Arabidopsis thaliana: one gene and its partner. The protein of the gene in region 2 interacts with the protein of the main gene of each other region in a pairwise test. Each region holds a gene or a part of one and is shown on either strand. Other genes may lie near its edges.

Region 1 (5,359 bases), on a different chromosome or scaffold from region 2:
CGGAGACAGAGACGGAGATGGAGACGGAGACGAAGAAGAATCGTTGACAGAGGGGAAAATGCGAGAGAGGGTGGAGGAAGAGTCAGAGACGATTCGGAGATAACCAGAAGTTCTGTAGAGGGAGAAGCAGAAGCAGATGAAGAAGAGCAAGAGAACGGCTCGGAGTACATTGCCGGAGCACGGTGGGATTACGACGGAAGTTACGGCGGCGGCGGCGGAGGAAGAATGATTCTCGTCGGAGTAAGAATCGTTGAGTATCGCCGTCTTGGAATTGGAGCCAAAACGGTTCGATAGATTCATCTTCGCCGACGTTGACGACGTTGGTCATCGTCTGGGCGGTTATAAGGTAGTTTCAAGTTTTTTGAATGTAAAACGCGGCGTTTAATGAGTTTACCCTCCAACGATGAAACGCAGCGTTTAATGGGTTTTATCTGCGAGATTATTTTTTCTACCGTAGGATTGCCGACCAAAATAACAATGAACATTCTAAACCGTAGGATCTTGATATAGAAACGCTGCGTTTAGGGGTTATCCTTCAAAGATCAAAACACTGCGTTTGGCTCTGTTTGTTAATTTTCCGTTCAAAGGCGATCAAAACGCTGCGTTGATAATTTATCTAAACTTCATTTTCTAGGTTTCTCTACTAACATTCAATATCCTAGTTTCAAAAACACATCCGAATAGTTTCTCTGAACCTAAATCTTGCATAACTTATTTAGCTACCGAGGAGAGAAATTGACAGATTAAGATCAATCTTTGAAGAACCAAAGCAATCTTTGGATACGAATGGTGCTGAACAAGTCGAGACTGCTGCTTCACTCGTTTCGCTCACCACCGATGATCCATTGCTTCTCCAATGATGATGATTTAACGACAGAGACAACGACAAATCTTCTTCTTCTTCTTCGTGTTCTTGTTCCCGCCACTCCTCTGTTCCCTAATGAACCAAAAGACAAAATTAGTTACCAAACCGGACTAAAACCGGTTAAATGCCATTTATATGAAACTAATTAGATTCAATGACAAGTAGTACTTAAACCGGACTCAATCCCTTTGGATTTGACCAGTCTCAATCAGACCGGTTAGAACTCATAACCGGACTTGATTTTGTTTTGCAACATTAAATTTCCAAACCGGTTGACAAAAGAGAAATTTATTTATACCTTGGGGAAATGATGTGACAAAAACGTCGTCGTATCGTTCATCTTCTTGATGTGAAGAAAGTCAGCATCATCATCATAACCACCAGACTCTGAAGTCTGCTGCTCTTTTGTTCTTCCTCCTCCTCCTCCTCTGCACCAAAGTAAAAGGACAATTCAAATACAGACAAACAAAAAAGCAAAACACTTTTTTTTTTTTTTTACTGAAATAAAATTAAAAAACTTTGTCAGAAAACAATTATAAATAAAAATAAATACCTAAATGAAGAATGTGAAGAAAGAGGAAAAGAGTGAAAACCCAAAAGACAATCATTCCTTGTGTGTAAAGACAAGTTGTCATGAAGATAATAATCTTCTTCACTGTCTTGTCTTCTTCTTATTGAAGATGATGAGCTTTCTTCTGTGTAAGAAACAATAAAAACTAGTTAATGAATATTCTCTTATTTTCTGTTCTATTACTCTTGAAAAATATATAAATGTATTTATGACATTTGTCTTATGAATCATGACACTAGACCAATAGTACATACTACAAACAGATACAGTAAAATAATTAAATTCCATCCATTATTATGTGTTTGATGTTAACAGTTCAAATTAAAATCAACGGTCCCATTCTTTTTCCAAATATCATCATTGATTCATTTCATAATTATAAGGAAAAAAATAATACCTGGTTTCTCCAAAGTGAGCTTTGAACCTCCTCTATACATCTGTTTATATATATGTTCAAAACAATCAAAACAAGGTGTTATGAATGAAATATGAATAAAGAAGAAAACAAAATTGATGTTTTTGGTAAAATTAATTACTATTTACCTGAAGGTGGCTTTTGACATGTGAAATGGTAAGTCCCTTCACATCCATCATCTTAAGAACAAGTTTTGGTGTTGCTCCTGTTTCATCAAACCCAACAAAATATCAAAAAGGTGACTATGATGATTCTTTATGAAAAAAAACAAAAACTCAAACTTTATGAATGAAACAAAACAACAAAAGCGTGAAGGTTTTGACTCGGTAACTTGACAAAGATGATTCATTACGATGATGAAGATAAACAACACAATAAGGAAACTTCAAACCTTTTTTTTAGCATAAAAATCCAAACTTTGAAGATAAGAATGAAACAAAGTAACAAAAGTGTGAAGATTTTATTCAAAAACTGATTTTTTACGATGATTGAGACAAAAGAATGAGAAAAGTCCAATTTTTCTAGTTATATCGTAACTTTAGGATGTTTGAAGCAAACAAACACACAAAAGTTTGGTTTTTTTCACAAAAGATTTGAAGAGAAAAAAAGTATAATAAACTTACGGTGTTGACCACCGAGAATCTCGACGGCGTGAACGAAACAACGGTGAAGATCCGGCGTCCATCTAAGCCGTGGAACTGGAGACCGTACGTAAGGTCTAACTCCGTGAAATTTATTGCCGTTAAAGCTTCCGTTACCATTTCTACCACTAGACTTACCCATATCGTTTCAAGAACCCTAAAAACCGACACAAAGATTCGATTTTTACTTAAACCCAAGAGAAAAAAAGGTTTGATATGTTTTGGTTCTGTGAAGAGGAGAGAAAGAGAAACGAGGAGAGGAGGATTTGAGAGGTGTGTGGGTTGGGATTAAAAGAGCAAGTTTTTGTTTTTGGCTTCTTTCTTAAAGATGACTGTCTCTTTTTCCATCTATTCTTTTTGTCTCTTTTTGGATTCATTCATACTTATTATTATCTCTCTATATATGTTTTGCAAAATTCCAAAAAATAATTATTAAAACTTGAGAAATGTTTCATTCATTTTTTTTGTTAAATATCAATTTGAGTTCTTACGAAAAAACTACATTAATTAAAAGAGAGTTATAATTTTGTTGTTTAAGAATTGTTCATGACATATACGTGAGGAATTTGAGGATACGTAAACTATCGTAAAGTCAAAATTTCATAATCTGATATGGTTTATGGTTGGGTCACTTATTTAGACGATTAAACTAGCAAATAAAAAGAATGATGTTATAAAATTGGTTTATTATACTAAACAGAGAGGTGACATGTGTTTTTTGACCTACAAGCTTGTAGTAATCATACGAAAATCCATTTGACTTTGGTTACAAAAGTAGTAATCATACGAAAATCCATTTGACTTTGGTTACATTAGTCTTGACTCGTGACCCCATTCATTATTATCTTAAATAATTTTTTTAAATAGTTTTCGAGAGAATCATTGCATATCAACGTACCAGAGAACTACACAAGGCTACATACATAACTTGCATGAAAAGAACATAGATTCGAGTATTACCCTTGCCCCGATCGATATATAACCAATTGAACATACATTTGTTAGCTTAGCTGGTCAAAAGAATATACTTGTCATAGAAAAACCAAATTTTGTAAGAACACATAATATTTACCTTATAGGGATTTGGGATTTACCCAAATGAAGAAGTTTCCTCCACAGTACCTCAAACTTTACTTTCTCACTTTTTTCACGATAGGTTTTAGACCAAAACGAATAAATTTAAATGAAAATAGCCCAACTGCTTAGCTTTGACCATATAGCATAATTATTATTCCTATTTTTGTTTTTTGTTTTGTTTTTTTAGGGTTTCGTGTTAAACTTTCTGATTTCAAATAAATCACACAATTTTACAATGGTCCTTCGTTATGTCTTTTGGACCACCGTTTTGACTTCATTCCCCTAATTCCTTTACATTTTCTCCCATTTCCCATTCATTTTCCTTCTTATTGTTTTCTTTTTCACTCCCATAATAAGTGATAATAAATCTTAGGATAATATTTATAACAAGAATTATTTATTTTCCCCATTTTTCTTTTTCTCATTGCTGATTTGGTGTACATGGAAGACGAACCAAAACCATCATGTCCCTATATGGTAGCCGACAATAATTACTGATTTCGCCAGTTTTTTCCAACCATGGATTCAATATTTTAATCAACGAATTGTGGACATAAATCACGTTATTTTATCAGCTATTCTACTATTAACTACTTATATTAACATCAAATACTGTTTTTAAATGATGTATGTATTTCTTGTAAGAAATTAAGTACTAGTATATAATTTTTATGTAGTATTAGAAAGTAATTGATTTGTACTACATACTTACTCGTGGTTTACGTGGTATCAGCCATAATAATAAAAAAATAAGAAAAAGCCGATTGAGTATTAATTAAGAGAACAAAATTTAATAATTTATAATTTAACAAAGTCGTCGTCTTTATTCCACACATAAATCAGACATTTCTATACCCAACGAAAAAAACAATCAAATAATAAAATCTACACACAAAGTGAGGTCATTGACCTTTAAAATGTAGCCTATTGTGCTTTGCATTTTCTTCTCATTTATGCACATTCTCTAAATTATTATAAAAACGTGGAATTCTCTGCATATATGCCAAAATTCGCTTTAACGATTTTAAAAATGGTTTAGTGTTTGATTAGACGGTAATTAAAATATAATATTCAGTCACCAGCTTGTCAAAGACACACGAGTTGCTTATATTACCTATATATTGACTAGAAGAATAATACAAAAAGCTACCTAGGTTATGATCATTGATCAAAATAATCAAGTAAACACATTCCAAAAGGTTTTATCAGTGAAACAATTTTACTATATTCACTAATAAAGCCTTTTATTATCCTACTGATGATCATTGATCGATAAACACAATTGCATGGATGGATAAAATGTCTAACCGAGAGTTCAAGTCTCAAAAATCAAAATGGTTAGTACTAATACATGTATGAGAGAAAGTGGAAGCAAATGAAAATAATACATTAAATGAGTCTGGCAGAGACAAATAGCTCCAAGAGAAATTGAATGAGTAATTGACTGTGGAGGTCCATGATTCATGGCTTTTACCACAATCAAAACATTCAATAATTCTCTTTGCTTGTTTTTTTATTAATATTATAAAACTTTGTACATACATGTAAGATAATGTAACCCAACTGGATTTTGGACTATAAAAAACATAACATTCTTTTTTGTGTGTGGAAAATTTGGATGTGCAAATCTCACCGAACCATTCGACGATTATCAATGTTAATTTATTATTCTATTGGGTCAATTTTCTCATCACCCATTGATTGAATTCAATCATAGCACATGCAAGAACAAGGCAAATTCTAAGATGGTTAAAGTAATATAAAAGGTGTAATCCATGAAACACCTAGAG
Region 2 (4,368 bases):
TTGCGGAGGGTAACCTCCCGGTGGAGGATAAGCTCCCTGCGGTGGAGGAGGATAAGCTCCTGGCGGATACCCATGGCCGTGATGATTATGATGTGAGAAGAATCTTTTGTCTTGTTCGTGGTGGTCGTCTTTACCCATCTTTAATTAAAATCAAGAACTTGAGAGATAATAAGATGATATGAATAGAGAGAGATACAAGATATGGAAAAATGAACTATATACTATGTTATGTTTAGACACATACATGTGTGCGATATTTGGTTATGTGTAGCGAAAAAGGCTCTTAGCTATTGATTTAAACCGAAATGGACGCGTTGATGCTTGCTCGTTTTAACAACGCATTCTTATTCCTCTTCTGATCATGACACGTTTCTTCTCCATCAGAGGATAAAATAATTGTGACCATTCATATGCATTAAACAATAATAACGAAATCGTTGCTCACACGACACATTAGACTATTAGAGCAGAAAGCCATCAAAGATTAGAGAGAGGAGTAATTTCACAAAATCAAACAATATTAAGATAAAATGGTCAAACTACATAATATTCTCCGGTAGATGGATCAAAAGAGAGTTATTGTTTTGGTTTGTTAACATACCAAAGTTCAAACGGGTTTAGAGTTTCATATACAACCCGAAATGAACCACAAAAGCCAAACCATTTCTTCTTAGATAGATACAACTACGTTAGATAAACATCACCAAATCAGACGGATTTAGGGAAATGTGGTGAGAGGAGCTTCATGATCTCTGTGATTCCGACTTTGTCTTTGCCATCGAAAATCGTCTTCAACTTATCATCGCAGTGAATCTCCTTCTTGTTCGCCGGATTCTACAATGAGGCAAGAAATGAATCACTCAAACAGAAACTATGAATAATCCAGAAAACAGAGAAGTTTATGGTCTACATTAGCTGCTTGTTGTTTACATTGAACAACCAATTCAACATATAGACATCATCTGTGTGTATTACATTAAATAGACTAATTCCAAAACTCAAAGAACACTACAATTCCAAGTTCTCTAAGATAATGACCAACACAACAATCCAAGTAATCTTCACAACCAAACCCACAAGATGCTTCATGTATATAGTCAAAACCAAACAATCCATTCTCAACCACAAGATAACATGCATTTTACTCAAGATCCATGTTCTACATAACAATCAAATCATCCGCCACTAAAATGCTTAATCGATTTAGTTTACATGCAACAATTCCTTCTCTAAAGCAACCAAATCCCTAAGTTCATAAACAGATCTACGCAAAGTAAAAACCTTAGAAAGCTCCAAAATCAAACAAACCTGGAGATTGTGAAGCTTCACATACTCCCAAACTTTCTTCAGAGCGGAACCACGAGTGAGTTCCCTTTCTCCGGCGAAGCTAGCTAGCTGCTGTGACACCGGACGAGTCTTGAATATCCCTTTTCCTTCTCCGGCTACAGTAACGGCCTCAACAGTCGCCGCCTTCGACATCAGTGTCCTGAACCCTCCCAAAACCCTAGAAATTCCCGCCATTTTTTATTTCCGAAAAGAGAAACAAACAACGACTAGAGAAGAAGCTAAAACCCTAACAACAGTCAAATAGAGAAAAATTCGGCGAGAGAGACAAGAAAGACTCTTAAAAGAAGATCGCTAAACTCATTTTGGGCCTTTCATAAACTATGGGCCTATTTGGGCTTCATAAAAAACGAAATATTTAGGATGTTTTATCGAAATTAAAGGTAAATGTAAGAGCTAATGTGCAATTTAAGAAGATAGCTAAAATTCAGTTTGGGCCTATTTGGGCTTCAGAAAAAAGAGAAATAATTAGGATGTTTATCGAAAATAAAGGTAAAATGTAAGGGTTAATATGCAATTTAAAATGAACTTTTAGTCTTCGGTGACAAACGGCACCGTTTAATAGTTTGATGCCGGTCGCTATTCGTACATGGCGGATGCTCCGTCGCAACATCGCCGTAGAGAGTCTTCTTCGCCGCTGCGTCACCGTCAACTTGGATGAGACATATTCTTAAAAGGAGAACGATGTGGTGAGTGGAAACCCTAATCGATATCAGTGGTTGTTAAATGTATTAGTTGATTTTAGTTGTCTTAGTCTACTAGAGATTTTTAGTTCTTGTCTCTGAGTGGTGAATGACAAGGTTTTTCACAAACTTGGTTAATATCTATGACTTAAGAGATGACATGTTTGCTCATCTTCTCTGGTTAGTTTATCTTATCTTTGTTAAGATAAAGATGCTTATGGTCATTTAGTAGACTAAAAACGGCAACTTGTGTAGTTATTATATGTGGTATAAAGGGGGAAAGAGCATGATTAGATCATATGATGATCTCTCTTGCTTTCGTATGTATATCACTCACTAGAAAGGATGATGTATTTAGGTCTGAGAAAGCAACACAAGTTAGTGAATGACGTTTCAAGTTTTTACTTGGAAGGGTTAGAAGATGGTTCTTCTAGGTGATGATAATGACACTTGACAAAGTAGAGAGTGACATGGATTTCTCTTCTTGCATCAGCTTCCACTTGACTAAAGTGAATCACGTTTTAATGTGTAAGCATATCTTGTGGGCCTTTCTCATCCAATGATTTGTTTTTTGCTCCTCTATGTTGTTTTGCAGACACTGTAGCTTCCCCACTTCTTCTTTTTGGTTTTAAATTATTGTGTAGCTAGTAACGATGTGAAGTATAACAACAGCCATTTAAAGTTTCAATTATTCGACTCGTATTTATCATGAAAGCGAAAGCACATTATTCCTGTAGCTATTGTTGACATAAATTCTGCAGTTGAAAAAAGTCTATATGTGTGGTAAAGAAAACTTCAAAGTACCAGTAAAGTTACTTGAGATGATAAGGAGAGCCATGGTCAGGTGTGTTTGCTTATGTCCTGTCGTTGTTAGTCTTATTATCCGCAAGTTGTTTAATTATCTGATACATACATTTCATTGATTTTCACCAGTTGATATGCACTTGCAGGTGACTAGTAATGTGTAGAGATAGAGTAGACCTTTTCTTTTTAAGGAACCCCACAAAAGATACAACAATCATTTCCATGGAAGAGTGGACCGAAAGTTTAGTCACTGTTTTTGCAAATGGGAATTAGTATATACTTGGTTTCCCTTCTTATCTCATACATTATCTCACTGTTTTATTCTCAAACTTAGGAGTACTATCATCATCTAGCCTAAAATAAAAAGAAAGTCGTCGGATATATATCTCGGATACGTAAGTAAAATCGACCAAAATTCGACGACTTTTATCTTTTCTAATACTACTATTATTCCTTGGTTGCAGTGGGGAAAATTTTCTTTGGAGCTTCTTGGAGTTACTTAGTTGTTGTTACCTTCGGCTGCACGTTTACCGCAACTTCACCCGATGCAGTGCCATGTAAGCCATGAGCCGATAACCCACCAACATCACTCCCATAACAAACACGTCTATCCAGAGATTGTTCAATCCCATTGACTTGATTGCTGGGAAGTCTCCAACTCTGCACCAGACTCCTTTTGAACACTCATAGTAGTCGTCATCAGTGTATTGAATACCCAAAAGCAGCTTGTAGCAGTAGTAGCTGTAGCTTAGGTACTTGAGCCATACGATGAAGGGAGGAATTTGTTGCACGTAGTATCCTCCGGCTATGAGAAAAACGAGTGTAGTAACAGATGCTAACGTTGTGGCTTGCTTGATGTTCATAAGCAGAGCACCGAAGGCTAAGCCAAGACCTTGAGCAACAAGGACAGAATAGAGAACAACCAGTAGCGAGAGGATAAACGTTGTTGGGTCAGGTTTAAGTCCACCCATCCAGTAAATTATGAACACAAAAGCAGTTGGAAGGGCAAGTTCCAAGGGCAGGTCCCCAACGTTTCTAGCCATGAAATAGGAGGAAAGACGGTACATTCCGGAAGACCGTTCCTTGATTAGCATTCTTTTCTCTTGTGGAAATGTGAAAACCGCGTTGTATAGCGGGTAGAAGCCCCAAAAGACCGAGAAGAAGAAGAGCAAAGCAGTCTGCATTCAGAATAAATGTAGAATGATGGTTAGAATTAGAATACTGATGTCTGAATAAAATGTGTGTTAGCATCTAGAAGAAGAGAGCCTTACTCTATCTTGGATGTGAGATTTTGGAGTATGCCACCATAAAAGGCCACCAAGAAAAGCAACACTGATGACTTGGAAAATCCTGAGCTTGTTGAAAGATTCGAATCTCCTCTCTCTGACTCCTCTTTGGAGCAATACAGTGAACTGGTACCACCAAGTTGTGCACCATTGTTCTGACTTGAGGTTTTTGGCTGCTCCATTTAAAGAACAGATAACATCAGATTATTAGTGGTGTAAAAGAGCAGAAGCAGAATATAACAAAACTACTT

The links. Proteins that work in one complex are often made in the same cells at the same time.
Region 1: the proteins of AT1G31760 (region 2) and AT2G02060 interact in a two-hybrid assay, tested with the Arabidopsis thaliana proteins (one large-scale study listed by BioGRID).

What each region holds. Positions count from the first base shown.
Region 1 is NC_003071.7:492,966-498,324, reverse strand, and holds AT2G02060 (Homeodomain-like superfamily protein), read right to left. Parts: upstream 3,581-5,359; 5' UTR 3,565-3,580; intron 2,945-3,564; exon of another isoform or gene 2,650-2,944; 5' UTR 2,635-2,649; coding exon 2,475-2,634; intron 2,281-2,474; exon of another isoform or gene 2,243-2,280; intron 2,057-2,242; coding exon 1,980-2,056; intron 1,874-1,979; coding exon 1,834-1,873; intron 1,561-1,833; coding exon 1,419-1,560; intron 1,294-1,418; coding exon 1,164-1,293; intron 938-1,163; coding exon 716-937; 3' UTR 547-715; downstream 1-546. Other genes in the region: AT2G02061 (Nucleotide-diphospho-sugar transferase family protein), read right to left, coding at 1-300.
Region 2 is NC_003070.9:11,371,894-11,376,261, forward strand, and holds AT1G31760 (SWIB/MDM2 domain superfamily protein), read right to left. Parts: upstream 2,409-4,368; 5' UTR 1,522-2,408; coding exon 1,309-1,521; intron 835-1,308; coding exon 709-834; 3' UTR 501-708; downstream 1-500. Other genes in the region: AT1G31750 (proline-rich family protein), read right to left, coding at 1-138; ABCG14 (ATP-binding cassette 14), read right to left, coding at 3,359-4,009, 4,103-4,290.